Linked DNA regions of Coturnix japonica. The protein of the gene in region 2 purifies or fractionates together with the protein of the main gene of each other region. This does not show direct contact. Links are inferred from orthologs where the notes say so. Each region holds a gene or a part of one and is shown on either strand. Other genes may lie near its edges.

Evidence for each region.
Region 1: the proteins of CHAF1A (region 2) and CBX3 purify together in Homo sapiens (affinity purification with mass spectrometry; 5 studies listed by BioGRID and IntAct, with this or other methods). This does not show direct contact. The link is inferred for Coturnix japonica from reciprocal best matches to the Homo sapiens genes CHAF1A and CBX3.

What each region holds. Positions count from the first base shown.
Region 1 is NC_029517.1:29,451,899-29,459,669, reverse strand, and holds the start of CBX3 (chromobox protein homolog 3), read right to left. Parts: upstream 4,982-7,771; 5' UTR 4,869-4,981; intron 3,605-4,868; 5' UTR 3,578-3,604; coding exon 3,554-3,577; intron 1-3,553. Other genes in the region: HNRNPA2B1 (heterogeneous nuclear ribonucleoproteins A2/B1), read left to right, coding at 5,190-5,219.
Region 2 is NC_029543.1:1,628,376-1,636,090, reverse strand, and holds part of CHAF1A (chromatin assembly factor 1 subunit A), read right to left. Parts: coding exon 7,219-7,715; intron 5,079-7,218; coding exon 5,022-5,078; intron 3,561-5,021; coding exon 3,319-3,560; intron 2,759-3,318; coding exon 2,698-2,758; intron 2,233-2,697; coding exon 2,164-2,232; intron 1,762-2,163; coding exon 1,538-1,761; intron 1,232-1,537; coding exon 1,063-1,231; intron 874-1,062; coding exon 793-873; intron 705-792; coding exon 615-704; intron 390-614; coding exon 128-389; intron 1-127. UniProt on the Homo sapiens protein: Acts as a component of the histone chaperone complex chromatin assembly factor 1 (CAF-1), which assembles histone octamers onto DNA during replication and repair.

The DNA of each region.
Region 1 (7,771 bases), on a different chromosome or scaffold from region 2:
TCTATATGTTAACTCCGTGCCTGTGAAAAGGCGGAGGGCAAGAAACAGCATGAGGCAGAAGTAAAGAAAAGTAATAAGGGAAAATGCATCAAACAGAAAAGGGGTGCTAATAATAATAATAAAAATAAAATAATAACAATAAAAAATAAGGTGGTTACTGCCTTTTCCAAAAAAAAAAAAAAAAAGGCTGATGGGAGCAAAGTTTACAATGCAGTGCTACCATAAACAGAATATTCAATGATAATCGATAATTATTGAACAGGATGCATGCCAGGAGCAGCAAACTACTGCAGTCCTTTCCCACTATCAGCCACGCACCCATGTAACTAACATTCAAAGGGATGGCAGAAAGGTGCAAACGTTAAGACAGCTACACTTAAGGTACAGCACTTAACATGTCATTAAACTCTTGCTAATTTACAAATCAAGTGTTTTAAGTTGACATTCGATATACTTTAAATAATATTCTTCAAAGTTCTTAAAAGAAATATTACATCCACATCATCCTCAAGGCATTCCCAGTTTAATAAGGCACAACTCAATATTGATAGAAGGACACCTTTCAGAATTTCCTTGTTTGCAATCTGGAAAAGGTCAGGACGTGTCTAGAATCTTGTCGTATCCCATTATCTGGAGCACCAACGGACCAAAAACGGTCTGATGGCCATTTTGGATTGCTCCTTATAGGAAAAATTGTTCAAATGGCAGCCATAAATTAATGGGGACAGTATAAAGCTCTGAGAGCGTACAGTCATGCAGCACCTTAAAGCAGACAAAGCTACTTCCTCACTAATGCGCTTCCTACACGACAGAAGCAGGCAAGCAGAAGTCATGGAGCACCTGCATTTACTTCATGGCACTTTTCTAGTCCTCTCTAGACTGAACGTGGGTTAGTTTGAGCGTATTGCGAAGCCATTTTGAAACTGATTTTGAGATTTTGCAGGATTATTTCTCAGTGTGGTAAAAGGAAGGGGAAAAAGTGTCTGTCAGATGCAAAGAAAACTCTTGTTTTTCACAAAGCGAAGAAGCTGAGCTGTCTTTCCAAGCCTATCTGTTGTGTTCTTCCTTTTGTTTCTGCATTAACTTCTCCCCCAGACACCCTTACTTTTGTTAGCAAGCCACGAATTGAAGGTGCAAGAAAGCAAAGATGAGGAAAAGGTTCAAGTTCCCCCTTCAAACAGTGAGTTTCCACATATGGTTACATCTCGTGCGACACTTGTTTGGAGTTGGGAATAGAAAAGAGATTATTTAAAACAGAGCACGTATTTCTATTTTGGTAATAACTACCTGCACGTCCCAGGTGTATTTTGAACCCAGTATTTATGTCTGAGAAGTACCAACCACACTGGCTTTTTTTTGCCTCCACAGGGGGAAAAAAAAAAGAATGCAGGACTGGAAGTAAATGAACACAAACATATGAAAACATCCAACTTGTCTATGAAGGCTGCTGACTGCAATAAATGAAAGCATTATAAAGAGAAATGAGATGAAGAAAACAGGGAGGGGTGGGTGGGGGGCGGGAAAGGAGAAAAGACTCACTATACCATGCTAACAACATTCTAATTACTGGTGTTGAGACAGGTGGGCTACAAGTGGAACATCTCCATCTGTGCTCTCCACTGGACTAAAATCCCTTTGGTTCAATGGAAGGCTGTTTTCTGATACCTGTTCTCAGCTTTGGTCATTCTCATCACCTCAATGTTTTGGATCTCTGTATCAAATTAATGTCTATTTAAAAGAAACACCAACTCTCTAGGATTGTAGGTATCTACAGAATCTTCCACAGAAGAAAATGAGTATTACAGGATCTGATCCTTTATCTCAAAGGCCAGTAAGCAACAACAAAGTCAAGGTTGCGTTGCTTTTTGCTCTAAGTATTAAAGGTTTCACTACATCTTCTGGTTAACGCTACTTTCCAAGCACTTCCTCAGCCTATTTAACCCACTCAAATAATATCTGACAGCAGAGCCTGAAGAAACACTGAAGAATGGTAAATCCTGAGATTATACAAAGCAATGTAAATCTCAGCCTGGAGGTGAACGTAGCAGCTGACCCAGAATGAAGGGCAGAAGCGTCCACTGAAGCTCCCTCCTTTAGGATTACCCATTCTAAACCTTAGCATGGGCATCTAAGCACTGGATGCTCATCTGAGGCTTGCTCCCCATTCAGAAGTCACATCCGACAGACAGAGATGGCTTTCAATGGGTAATGACTCCTTCTTTAAGGGGCAATACTAGAACAGAGACATGACGTTGTGATGGAGTGTTACACGATACGTGAGGTAACAAAAGCAGAATTACAGTTCCAGAGCTACACTACCCCCAATAGATCTAAGTTTTGCATTCAAATATGCAATGAAGCAGAATTAGTTACGGTTCCCATGGGAACCATAACTGATTTTTCCTGACCTGCAGCAAAATTCTGAACATAATAGCAAAAATACTGCAGTTGCAGACTCCTTCCCTTCCCTGAGGCCCTCCCTGGGCTGGTAACTGCTCCTCTTCCTCATAATAGGGAAAAGTGGACAATCAATTGCTAACAAAGTTCAGACATTCATCTCGATGTTATCTTTAGAACGGTTTGCCATCATATAATATCAAATAAGCACTGTGCTTCGAAGCCAGGAGTTAAGAAGAGTTTTTAACGTGCCTCAATGTGGGTCAATTAGCAACCATTGGAGTAATTTAAGAACGGGCCTTTTGAGTGCATGATAAGTCCGTTGTTCTGCTATCCAAATGTCCAATTGTATCCACGCATCCTGCTTCAACCTCAGATGCATCTCATGCTATATTCCTTCAGTTCTTCCACACACACACATATATGTGTATATATATATATATATATCGATATATATGTATTTATATATAAAGTAAGTAGTTGAATGGCAATTAAAATCATTTTTCCAGCAACCAACTGCCTTTAGAAGTTCATATTTTAACGTCAAGCAAAGCTTTACAGGGACTTGAGAACCATGAATGCGTCATTAAAATCGTTCAGGAGGGGTTGACATCTGATCATTTCTGTTCCTATGAAATTCAAATAAACTGTTATTTGGTAAAAAAAATGATAATAATAATAATAATAATTTCAAAGGGCATCTTAACTACACCACATCATTTCCCAGTAATGTTATTTTTCTTCTGTATGACCGCCTTTACTCAGTTTGTTCTTCTATTTCTCTGAATAGACTAGAAGAAATCAAACGAATACATGATTTTACTTATTTTTACATAAACGATGAATTACATGGTATCCTGAAAGGAGGCTAAAAAAAATCCTTAGTGCTTTCTACAACAGGACAGACGAAATAGTGCACAGTCCTTGATTTTTTTTGGTATTCCCCAACAAGTCTCTGTAGAAATGGCAGATTTGTTAAAGCCAAAGAGTATGTCCTTTCTAGTAGCCTTACTTTCTGGACCTGAAATTTTGGTCAGAAAAATGCTGGGGAGGGGAGATGTGGATGTATCTTTTTAAATGGAGATGCCAAGTTATTAAGTTTGAAGAAAAATATGTTGATTAAATCCTTACATACTTTAGGTGTGCGTGAACTTACCAATGTAGTTTTATTGGAGGCCATTTTTATTGCAGACTTGCAGAGCTTTTACTAGAAAAATGCATGACAATTAAAAGGAAGTTGACGTTACTCAAAGAAAGGCATCCCAATACAACATGGTCCTTGTTCCAACCCCCATGTATTCACGGCATAGAACATTTACAGGATGGATTAAATCCAGGACAAGAAGCAGCTTACTGCTTTGTCCGGCATAACCCAGTAACACACCTTTACCTAGTCGGGATATATAGTAACGAAGTGGTAGATGGGGGGGAAAAAAGGTTTTTCCAAGGCCTTCTAAGGCACGGAGACGTTTGTAGGGAAAAGGGGGAGGACCATCAGGGATGCTTATTTCCTTCAACCCAACAGAACAGGAGCTCAGATTCCAGCAGTTAACTCAAATATAGCTTTAGACGTGTTAACTGTGGATCCGGCGGGGAGCAGCTCCACGTCTGGAGTGTAACAGAGCACCCACCGCTTTCCAAACTGCGAATATTTCTTTTAATACACAACGCTGCCCTCCGATTCTCAAGTTTGAACGAATTAAAGGCCCTGCACCGACGTGAGCTCGGCTAAGCTGCACACGCTACGTTTAACCTAAGCAAGCGAGTCCAACACCATCCATCCCCTTCACCACCACACCTCTCACACCGACCACCTCTTTAAGCACGTTATCATCCCTGCCCCGTTCCAACTACAAAACTTCGGATCGCACACAGGCCCGAGCACGGCACAGCACACGGCCCTGCAGGGCCCGAGGGCTCAGCCCCCCGCTAGGGGGGGGGGTGGGGGGAGCGCGGCGGAAAGGGCCGAGCGGGAGAGCTCCTCGCGTCCCCATCGGAAAGAGAAAGGGGAAAGAAACCACAAGAACGATCCCGATACCCCCCACCCCCAACCCATAAGGAACGGAGCCCCGCGGGCCGCCGGGAGGGAAGGAGGAAAGGAGGGAGGGAAGGAGGAGGAAGGGGGGGCATCGCCTCGCCATGCCCGCCACCCCCCGCCCCGCCACGTTTCCCCGCCGCGGAGGCCGCTCCGGGCGCTGGCGGGCGGCTTTGTCTGCCCGGCCCGGCCCCGCCGCCCACCCGCCCTCCCTCCTCCCTTCCTCCTCCCTTCCTTCCTTCCTTCCCGCGGGGCCCTCCCGCCATGCCCACTCCTCCCGCGGCCGCCGCGCTATAGGGGTTGGTGGTGGTGGGGGGGGGGGGGGAAAATCGGCCGCACCCCGCGCTCCATCCCCGCGGATGTCGGCGGGGAGTAAACGTGGGAGCGGGGAGTGCCGCCGAGACGAGGAAAGAAGGGGAAAAAGAAGGATACAGACTTCAGTGCCGCTCGGCCGCGCCGCTCCCCCGTCTCCTCCCGGCTCTCGCCCTGCGCGCTCTGAGCGGCGGCGGCAGCGGCGGCATCCGAGGGGCTGAGGGGGGAGGGGAGGGGGCGGGGAGCGGCGCGGGGCGGGACGGGCGGTGCGGGGCGGGTTGGGCCGAGCTGAGCGCGCCGGCGGCTGACGGGGCAGAGCGAACGACGCCGCCTACGCGCCAGCCGCAACCTCCTCCCGTCGTCGCCGCCAGCACAGGAGGGGGCCAAGACGTCTGTCCCACGGGGGGCGAGCGCAGGACCGCGCCAGGCGTCCAAAAGGAGGAAGATGCCTCGCGGAGACAGAGAAAGCGACTGGGTGAGGGAGGCCGGCGGGACGCGGGAGGCAGCCGCCATCATGGCCGCCACCGCCAGGGAGGGAAGGAGGGAGAGGGCCCGGGGAAAGGCCTTTATTGGCGGTTAATGGAGAGCAGAGCGGGGCTGCAGGGGGACAGAAAGCGGGAGCCCCGGTGCCGTGTCGCTGCTGCAGGGCGGCAGCACCCAGCAGCACTCGGCAGCACTCACCCTTTCTCGCCGCGTGTGAGAGGAAAGGGGAGGGCGGGAGGGAGGCGAGCGCTGCGTGGCTGCCGGCGGAACGAGGCCGGGCCCAGCGCTGTCCGCCGGGCACAGCTCCAGGTCAGCGCTGCCTCCCGCCTGGGCCGAGGGTGGAGGGGGAGCAGCTGCGTTGTGTTGTACCGCGCTCCCGCCCGCCGAGGGTGGTGGGGTGCGGGGCCGCTGCGGCTAATTATAACCCCGCACTACGGGCTGCAGCGATCGGCAATTTCCGGAGAGAGGGAAAAAAAAAGAAGGAGCGCTGTGCCAGCGACGCTCGGGCCGCTTCGGGTCTGCTCGGGCCTTTTCGGATCTGTTCGGGCACCTATGAGAGAGCCCTTCCGCTGTCGGAAATTGCCGAGTGGGTTGGGGGAGTCGGTGAGCTCTGCGTCTTTTTTTTCCGGAAATTGCCGAACTTGAGCCGATCGCCTGTTTCGTCGGTGTCGGCTGATTCCGGAAATCGCCGAAGCGAGCCGAACGGGCTGGCGTTCCTCTTTCGGCTGTTTCCGGCGGCTGGCGAAGCGGATAAGCTCGGGCGAGGACGAGTCGTTCGGCTCATTTCGGAGACGGCCATTAGTAACGGCGTCGATGAGTTTTTATTAGGTGCCAAAAACAGAGGGGTATCGCACGGAGCCGCAGCCCCTCGGGACCGATTTAGGCTCTAAAATCCGAGCTATTTTTTTAATTAAAGCCCGGAGGTGCGGCCGGGTAGAGCAGGAGGAGGAGGAGGAGGAGGAGGGCGCTCGTAGTGCGCGGAGCTGAATTTCAAATTACGTAAGAGCTGCGGCAGCCATTGCTGAGGGCCGAGCGCTGCGCCGGGCAGGGGCTGCCACCATGAAGAACATGGTACGTGCGGGGAGCGCTGCGGAGCTCGGTTTATAAGGGTGTAGTGCTCTCTGTGTTCTCGTAGGTTGTGTTTTTGTGGAGCTGAGGGTTACCAGAGCTGCTGCGGCTGTTGGGCCGCTGTGCGCGGGGGAGGGAGGGAGGGAGGGCAGCGGCGGGGGAGGAAGGTTCTGGAAGCGGTGCTCGGTGCTGGGTTGTTGAGGGGCGGCGGGTGCTGCTGTTCAAGCAGGGGCGGGTTGTGTCTCTCTAGGTGGCTCTGAGTTGGGTTGTTCTCTAGGCACAACGATGGAGAGCGGTGGGAGCGCGGCCCGGGGCGCGCCGTTGCCGGTAATGGCGGCAGGAGGGGGAGGGGGAAAATGGCGGCGCCGAGAGCGGCGGGGGAGGGAGGAGCGGGAGCGGGGGAGGGAGGGAGGCTGCAAACCGATCCGTGCGTGTGGCGGAGCGGCAGCTGGATCCTGCGCTGCGCTCAGGGCTCGCCCGGCGCTGCTGGGCGCTCGGCGGGGATCGCTTTCCCGCCCTGCAGGCGGCGGCTCCGGGCGCCATTTTGCTCCCTGGCTGCGGGGCTGCTCTGCTGAGAGCCGCCACATGGCGGAGCCTCCCCGCTCTGTCCATGGGCGGCGGGGCGGGCTGAAGGAGGAGCAGCGCCGTGCTGGGCTTCCCGCCTGGCTCCTGGTTGAAGATCCTGGGGAGCTGCTAAGATGGGCTGCGTTGCTTTTTCTTCTGGTTTCTGTATTGAGAGCCAGGATTGCGTTTTCGTCAAATATCAATAAGGACTGTAGTTAAAGTAGTTTATGATGGTGCACGTTGTAACTGCAGTGTAATGCAGTTAACACAGGTAGCTGGGCCCTGGCCGGGGTTGTGGTTAGAGACGTGCAACTAACGCGTGTAAGGCAGTGCCTGCTTTTGGAGCCCGTGGGGCAGCATTTAGGATATTGTATGGTGTTCTTCATTCGTGTAGTGATAGGGACATATTGCCATATCCTGGCCTGTGCGTATGCCTAACTTTTGCTTTGGCCAGGGCACATACAGGTCTGGCAGTATATGGTTGATGAGTGATGTGTGAACTTGAAGCTGTTCTGTTTATCTGCGACGTCTGGTACATGTTTGCTCTTTAAAAGCAAATGCAGTTATTATGGATAGCCTGGCTTCCAACATGGAGCTTTATTCAAGTCTTGAATGCAACATCCTTTCCCCTATTCTGTTCAAAAGATTCTATGAAGTGAAGCTTTATAGAATAAGGGTTTGTATTTTTTCCCATCTGTACAATGATGCATTTACTACTAATCCTTGTGCTGCTGGATCCGAGATAATTTTGACAGATATTCCAGGGTATATCCCCATGTACTTCACAATAAATGATATCTGTTATAGAATCAGATAGTATGAATGGATTCTTGTTCCTTGGTGTGAGGATGCTTTGTTTGGAGCTCTGTTCTTTTTCAAATGCAGTCATAAAAAGTTTTATATTAACCTACT
Region 2 (7,715 bases):
AAAGATTGCTTGAATTTTAGATAGAAGCAGACCATTCTGATGCTTTAGCTCAATTAAAAAGAAATGTCTATGGTCTCAAAAGTGGAATACAATGGAACATAAAATAATTTAGCCCTTCATGTCTTACTCTGCTGATCTTTTGCTCTTTTTTTGCTACATTTCTGTATCTGCTGTTCTTCCTCAGCAACAGATGAATCCAGGATACACGCTGTGAACTGCTGGAGAACCTTTAGGTCTGCATTTGTGCCGCTGTCATTCTGTGAGCTTTCCCAGATGCAGCCAATTTTCACAGGCTGTAGAACATGGAGCCTCTTCCCTTTGGCCATGAGTTCATCCCACTCCTTTGCTTTCAGCTTTTGACGAACCTTCTGATTCTCTGGATCACACTCCTAAAAAGCCACGGGTGAAAAAACCTGTTACAACCATGCCAGATTAATGATGTACTTTTAAAAACCACCTTCTTGTTGTGTTCCCTGAGACACAAGTTTTTTCCTGCACTAAGTAAACGTGAGTTAGGTCGCTGCCAGGTCTATATGACTTCTTCGCGTATCAATATTTAGTACTTCATGGGCTGGAAGCAAAGATGGAAATCCAGTGACACCTGGTTCACTTACTTCTGTCACTCCTTCATCTTCAGATAGGTACCCATGGGGTACAAAAAACCCATCGTCATCATCTTCATCCTCTCCTTCCTCTTCATCATCCTACAAAGTAAACTCAGCTCTTTAGAAACATGGCACTGTCAGATAGAATTGTTTCTAAAATCCGTTCTTCAGTACACTGAATCCTTACCCCTTCACTATGGGAAAGGCTTTCACCAGGTTCCTCCTCTTCCCACTCTTCATCACTATCTACTTCATAATCCAGTAATTTCTAGAAGAAATGCCAATATGCCACTTGTTAGCCTGAAAGTATGATGCCAGAGTCCATCTAGTGCTTCATAACTCAATAGCAAGACTGAGCACACAAGTGGATCCCAAAGAAAAGTTAAATCTGATCACCATGTATTCACTTCAAGAGCATAAAGAAAGAATCCAACTACATTGCCTGTAAGGTACTTACACTGTCCTTTGACCAAGGATTCCTGGGACGAATCATTGTGGTTTTCTTGTTCCATGTACCCCAATATGCAGGACGGTGATTTTCACAGAACTGCAGAAGTTTCATTCTGCCAAATTTCCCCCTTTCAGGAACAGCATCTGTTTTGCAGTTATCCACCACTACCACATCACTGTTAAAACAAAAGACTATCTTCAGAACCTACAGGATGCTCCCCTGCTGCTCAGGATAATCTCTCTTATAACATTTCAGATCAGTCACAGTATCAACACAGAACTTGAATTGATGAGGACACTCACAATTCAGTTGCAAGAACAGGAATTTCATATAAGCTACTGACCCCTTAACAATACTATGGGCAACAGCACCCCTGCCTTAGTTTCAAGAAGTACAATAGGCATCTATCACACCTTCCTTGGAATCATTCCCCTTTTCATCACAAAAACAAGTAGAGAAAAGCCCCGATACATAGACTGACCTGTTCACTATGTCGGTACTGTTATTGACAAAAGTAGGTCCAGTTCTACGTGGCTTACGACATTTGAGATCTCTTAAGAAAGAAACTTCACTATTCTGTGCACGCAGGAGCTGATCCAGCTGTTCTAAGAAGTCTGGGTAAAGGGCAATACGACAGAGGGGAGCTAAGACCATGTTCTCCTTAATCTCAAAAGGAGCAAACTTCCCACAAGAGCCAGCAAGAATCTGAAATGGTAAGTGAGGATTGTTAGGACCTGAACACCTGAGAAACTACAGTACTAGCATATTCATAACATAAACCTATGGAAAAAAACCAACATGTTACTGGTATTTGAATGAGGATTTACAATAAGCCCTTCCTATCAGAGACTGCAACAGATCATCCTCTAATGGTCTGTACACCCAATACAGCAGAATACAAAGCTGAGATTTTACTCAAGCAACTCCAGGTTCCTGTCATCTTTAATCTGGTCACAGACTTGTTTTTTTTAAACCCTTCAGTGTTTTAAAATGAGGAAGTACTAACACCTGGTACACTTAAGGGGCTCTAAGGGAAAGGAAACAAGTGTATTTGTAAGAAGATGACTAATGAAAACCCAATAAAATGAAGGCATGGCAACAGCTCACCTTTGGGGCTTGAGGAGTCTTTGGTTTCTGGAAGAATCTTGTAATTTCTGCTTTCTGAGCATTAATACGCTAAGGTCAGAATGAAAATGCAAATTGTAATTAAAGGTATGACAAGGCCTCATAATTTAAAGTGAACTCAAGCATGACCCAACTTCAAATCTAATGAGGCATAAAACAAAGTTCTGTTGTTTATCAGCTCCTGTGATGCAATAAGAAAAAAAAAAAAGTAATTGTCTGCTCTAACACACCTACACAGATTCCAACATAATTGCTAAGACAACAAATGCAGGAAGAATTTAATAGATAGAACAGAGACAGCAGCATTTAAATAAGACAAGGAAACTGCAAGATCTATCTGGTGGAATGGCACTATCTGATCCTATTGGACTGACCCTGTTCCAAAGGGACAAGCCCATACCCCAGGAGGGTAAAGCAGCAGCTCCATAGTGAATAGCTCAGCAGCACTCAGCAGGGTGCCAGAAAACCCATTCAGAGCATTTCACCAGTACAGAAGAGCTTAGAGAAAGCATTTACCTTTTCCTCCTCTTTTAACCGTTTCTCCTCTTCTTTCTTTCTCTTCTCCTCAAGTTTTGCCCTTTAATATAAAAGTTCATTTCACTGGTCACAAATCAAAGTATCTGCTTGGACTGTGACAGGTGAGAAGACTTAATTAAGACCACATCGCACTATGCACTGAGATAATTTGTTAAACAAGTATGGCACTTGACTGAAATAAGCGTAAGACTCTTCTTCATTCCTCCTAAATCAGTGATTAAACTGTTTTGGGCACAAAGTATACGGGATGTTTCAAATTTCCCTCAATAACAAGAAAAGGTATTTAATGAGTTATCACATTACAAGTGACTTCCTCATCAGAGGACAGCAGTGCCAACAGATGCAAAGCAAGTAGCAAGACTGGTCAGGAAGGGAAAACTCAGTGGTTCATGACAGCTCTTCTCAGCCATTTCAGATCAGAAACCCAGCTCAACCAGCAAGCAAAAAGCAGTGCTGAGATTAAGATCTGTCAGTCCTTCAACCACTTTGAACATATTCAGTGACAAATAGGTACTACTGTCTCATCCTCTAAAATGGACAGAAAGTGGGTCTACAAAGGTATCACATCACACATGATTCCCCCTGGCCTTTAGCACTTACTCCAAGGCTTCCTGCCTCTCCTTGCGTTTCTCCTCCTTCACTCTCAACTTCTCAGCTTTTTCCTTTTCTTCTTTCTCTTTCTTTTCTCTTCTTTCTTTCTCTTTCAGTTCTTTCTCTTCCTCTTTTCTCTTCTTTGCCTCTTCCTTGGCTCTCTCCTTAGCAGCTTTTGCCTCTTCTTTCAGCCTTTCTTTTTCTTCTCTTTCTGCCTGTAACTTCTGCAGCTTGTCAGCTCGCTCCTGATCCTAGTTCAAGAAAAACCATTAAGTGTCTTTGTACACAGAAATAGCTGCCGCCACACACACACACTTGAGTAACATAATGACTTCTCCATAACTTCTTGACCCATCCAACACAGAACTGATGGGTTCCAGCTCCTATAGCTGCAGTTAGGAACCGCATGCTATGACACAAATGAGAACGTGGTATGCTTACCAATTAAAATAACCACAAATTCAAGGAAAATAATTTCCCTACCCTGTAGATATCGGTAACTCCAAAAGGAAACTAGGATATGTCTGAACTCAGAGATATAAACATCCTTCTGGTACATTTCCAATTTCTTTTTGTTTATTTCACATCTAAGTCTTGTTGGCAGGATGAAAAATTACTGAACAGCATCACAGTGTACAAATAATGCCAAAACTGTGCCAATGCTAAAAAGCAACACTGTCAGAACTGAGTCATAGCACTCAGTGAAGATCTACTGGGTTGCTTTGGGAAGAGGTATAAAGCAAACAGGGGCGGTGGGTTGATTTAGCTTTCAACACAAAGCTTCCACATTCTCATCTCTCTCAAATGTAACTATTGATATAAATAAACATCATAAGTAAATAACAGGAAAAGAAATCCAACAGTCTGGAACTTTACATGGGGCACTTTGAAAGGCATCTCAGGGAGCACAACCAGCCACTTACAGCTTACATAAAAAAACTGCAACCAACCAATTTATACATTAGTTACTACAAAACACAGCAAGGATTCACAAGCACAGCCCTTCCCAACTGCTGTTAAAATAACAGCCAGCTTTTCAGCATGCAGAGCCCACTCAAACAAGGCTGACTGCTTGAGATCTCCATGTGATCCAACAGACTGCTCTGTATTTAGCACTGCATGACTGAAAACAGAAGGGACAGCAAAATTACACTGCTATTTTGTTCGGATATTCTGACTAGCAGCATTTGAGTGGACACATACTGCAGCCTTAAGGATTTCCAGCAGTGACATCCAACAGTTTCTTCAGCAAGCCATGAAACCGTTGGCCCTTTTGCTAAAAAACAGATGTTACTTATTGTGTTTTAAAGGGAGAAGGGTGAGGAAGTGAGGCAGGAATCCTAAACAGAAGCCTCTGGAGGATTTCACTTGTGTCCACAATGTAGGTAACCACTCTCTAAGGAAGGGTTTGAAAACACTCCCAAAAGCACTTTGATGAGCAGTCAGCAACATTTCGAGTTTCTTAATATCCTACTGAAGTACACAGAAATGCAGTGCAGGCCACCCACACTTCATTAGGTATGCATTAAGAAGATTTTGGAACAAACCGAGTGCTTTAACCGCATGCATTAAGACTCTTCCATATTCATCAGTGAGGAAAGCCAGGGAAAGAGATGCTATAAGTAGATGGAGATGAAACACACGGGGCTTTGCTTACTATTCAATGCAAAAGCACAGCAGGTTAACTTTGTATGTCAGTGAAAATGCCTTACTCTTTGCAATCTCAGCTTCTCCTTCTCTGCAGAACTTTTGTGGAGTTTCTGAGATACCTGAAATCACAAAAAAAGGAAGTTTTATAGATCCCTGTCATTCCCTTTTCACAAGGCACTAAAACTCCTAGAAAGAACAGCAAGCTCCATTTAAATTACATTGACTTTTTCTTCATACCATATTCAGCAACACAAGCATTCTTTAAGCGCTAGATATGCTTAAACTCCCATTCTTAGATCCAATCACACTTATTTATACATAAGCCTGAATGCATCTAATTGTTTCAGTTTACATTAGGTCCTCCTATTACTAGACTTTGCATAAACAAACTCTTCTAGTTACTCAGTCCTTAAGTATCATTTGCAATGTAATACCATGAACAAAAAAGCAAACAGGAGGTACAGCTGCCACAAATCACAAGAGCACCACAGAGAGCATAACATTAACCCAAAGGAAGCGACTTTGCCATATCAACTTTTGATGCTACCAGCTCTTTTTGCCAGATTATTTAGCTACAGCTTCCTAATTATAAGGACTATTATCTATACTTCCATGCTGTTCCTGCTGGTGACCATAGACCTCTTCTTCCTCTACTATCAGTCAGTCAACCCTATGGGTCACACCTTCCTTTCAGTTAAAACCATTAAAGGAAGAAGGTACAAAGGTACTCTGTATCTAAAGAGTAGCACTTGTTGACACATTAGTTTCTGAGCAGCACTTCAGCACTCTCTGTCTTGGCTTCTTGTATCCACCTCTTCCTCCTGCCATTCTCAGGCAAGGGCAGAGCATTTATCCCTGTGATTAAAGCAGATCAAATGCTTTATTTTCTGTACTCATACACAGAAGTTTAGAGTGTAAAGCTGCATTGGGTGATCCTGTACTCACATGATCCAAAATAACACTAAACTAGGAGCTTTGCTTTACTGAAGTGTTTCTGCTTTAGAAAGCAGACATTCTAGCACAGACAACAGTGCAGACCAGCACAGACATCCCACCCCAGCAAACAGAATGAACAAGGTCAACCTCACCTTGTACCAGGCAAAACCAATCACTTGTTGACATGATTACATTACATTCAAAGTCAAGAGCTCTCTTCTGTTCTGCTGTACCAGGAGAATGGTACAGCCTAATTCAGTTTGTATGTGCATTTCAAAGTGATATCACAAGTTTTAACAGCCTGAAGTCAGAACCAGGTAGTTCTCTGTACACCTGGGAACATCTGCCTCGTTTTCCCTTCCAATAATGCAGTTAAATGCAAGCAAGGACAGCAGTCAGAGAGCTCAGTTGAACTTAGGGCTGTACAGGTATCACAACTGAGTGTCGTGTACCAGAGCATCCTCCCTTTACACCTCCACCAATCTGCTCCCCAGGAAGACTGAGCACTTTCCAACCACTCAAGTCACCATTTCAGCCATCTGTTGGCTTTAAAGCCTCCCTTTCAGCACGACACCAAAAGTCACAAAGTTCAGAGGTCTTTTGTTACAGAGCAGGCAGTGACCAGAAGCTACAATATATCCCAAGCCCCAGCACACACAGGGCTGTCAGATCAGAGGCATCCCATCCCCTCCAGCCCTCAGCAACATCTCATTGTCACAGGAGCACACAGTGACTTATCCCTTAAGCACCCCCATGCTGGACAGGGCACACAAAATGGCTGACAGCACAAGCCATACACACTTAATTCCTATTGAGACTTATTTAGCTCGTTCTCTTTCTTCAGAGGGAAAACTGCACTTGTGTTAATGCCCTGTAGTTTCACTTAAAGTGCTTTTAACAGCCTGGATTCAAGATCTCAGAGCTGCTGCTGGAAACAAGATGGCCCACAAAAAAACCCTCAGCAACAGAGAGAACAGAATGGAGGTTATGAACCACTATCTATTGTACAGAACTTGTTTTGAGCTCTGTCCCTATCCCAATTAGTAAGGTGTACATCCCAAGGCATACACTTCATGATCACTATAAGAACCTGTAACAGGAGCTTAGAGCTGCACTCATGCTATTCAAACATAGCAACTCAAAACCAAGACTTAAGCCATACAGTTTAAAGGATTCAAGAGGGTAATCATTCGCTCACATTATTAATAGATGGACAACACATTCCATCTGGTCTCACAATCTTTGCAACTGATTTATCCTTTTCATGACAAACAACCCGTCTACCATGTAATAAGTCTTAAACAACCAAGAAAAGAGACCAACCTTCCTAACAGGCGTTGAGACAGCTAAAGGACTAGTGTTTCTCTTGGTTTCTGCAACAGGCTGCGCCTCAGGGGAGCTCACAGAGAGAGAGCTCAACGAGGAATTAGTAAGTACAGAGTCTCCTTCATGGGACAATTCTACGGTCTCATTTTCTGATGTGACACTTCCATCCAGAGAAGTGACTTGGGGAGATTTGGCAGCCATAATATCTTCAAGAAGCACTACGGGCATCTTCCCCTCAAATATGATGTCCTTCAGTTCACCCTGATTAACCTTCGTGTTTTCCAAGTTGTTACACTCTGTCAACTCAGAACAAGACTGGATTCCATCTACCAGATCTTCACCTTTATTTGCAATAGCTTCGCACCGCACGTCAGTCTCCATTGATTCATCAGTTTGGTTGTTCTGAGTGGAATTCAGGCAATCCAGCTCGTTCATATCTTTTCCTATCACACCATTAGTCAGAGTTGCAGTAGATGCTTTTGAATCCAAATTAA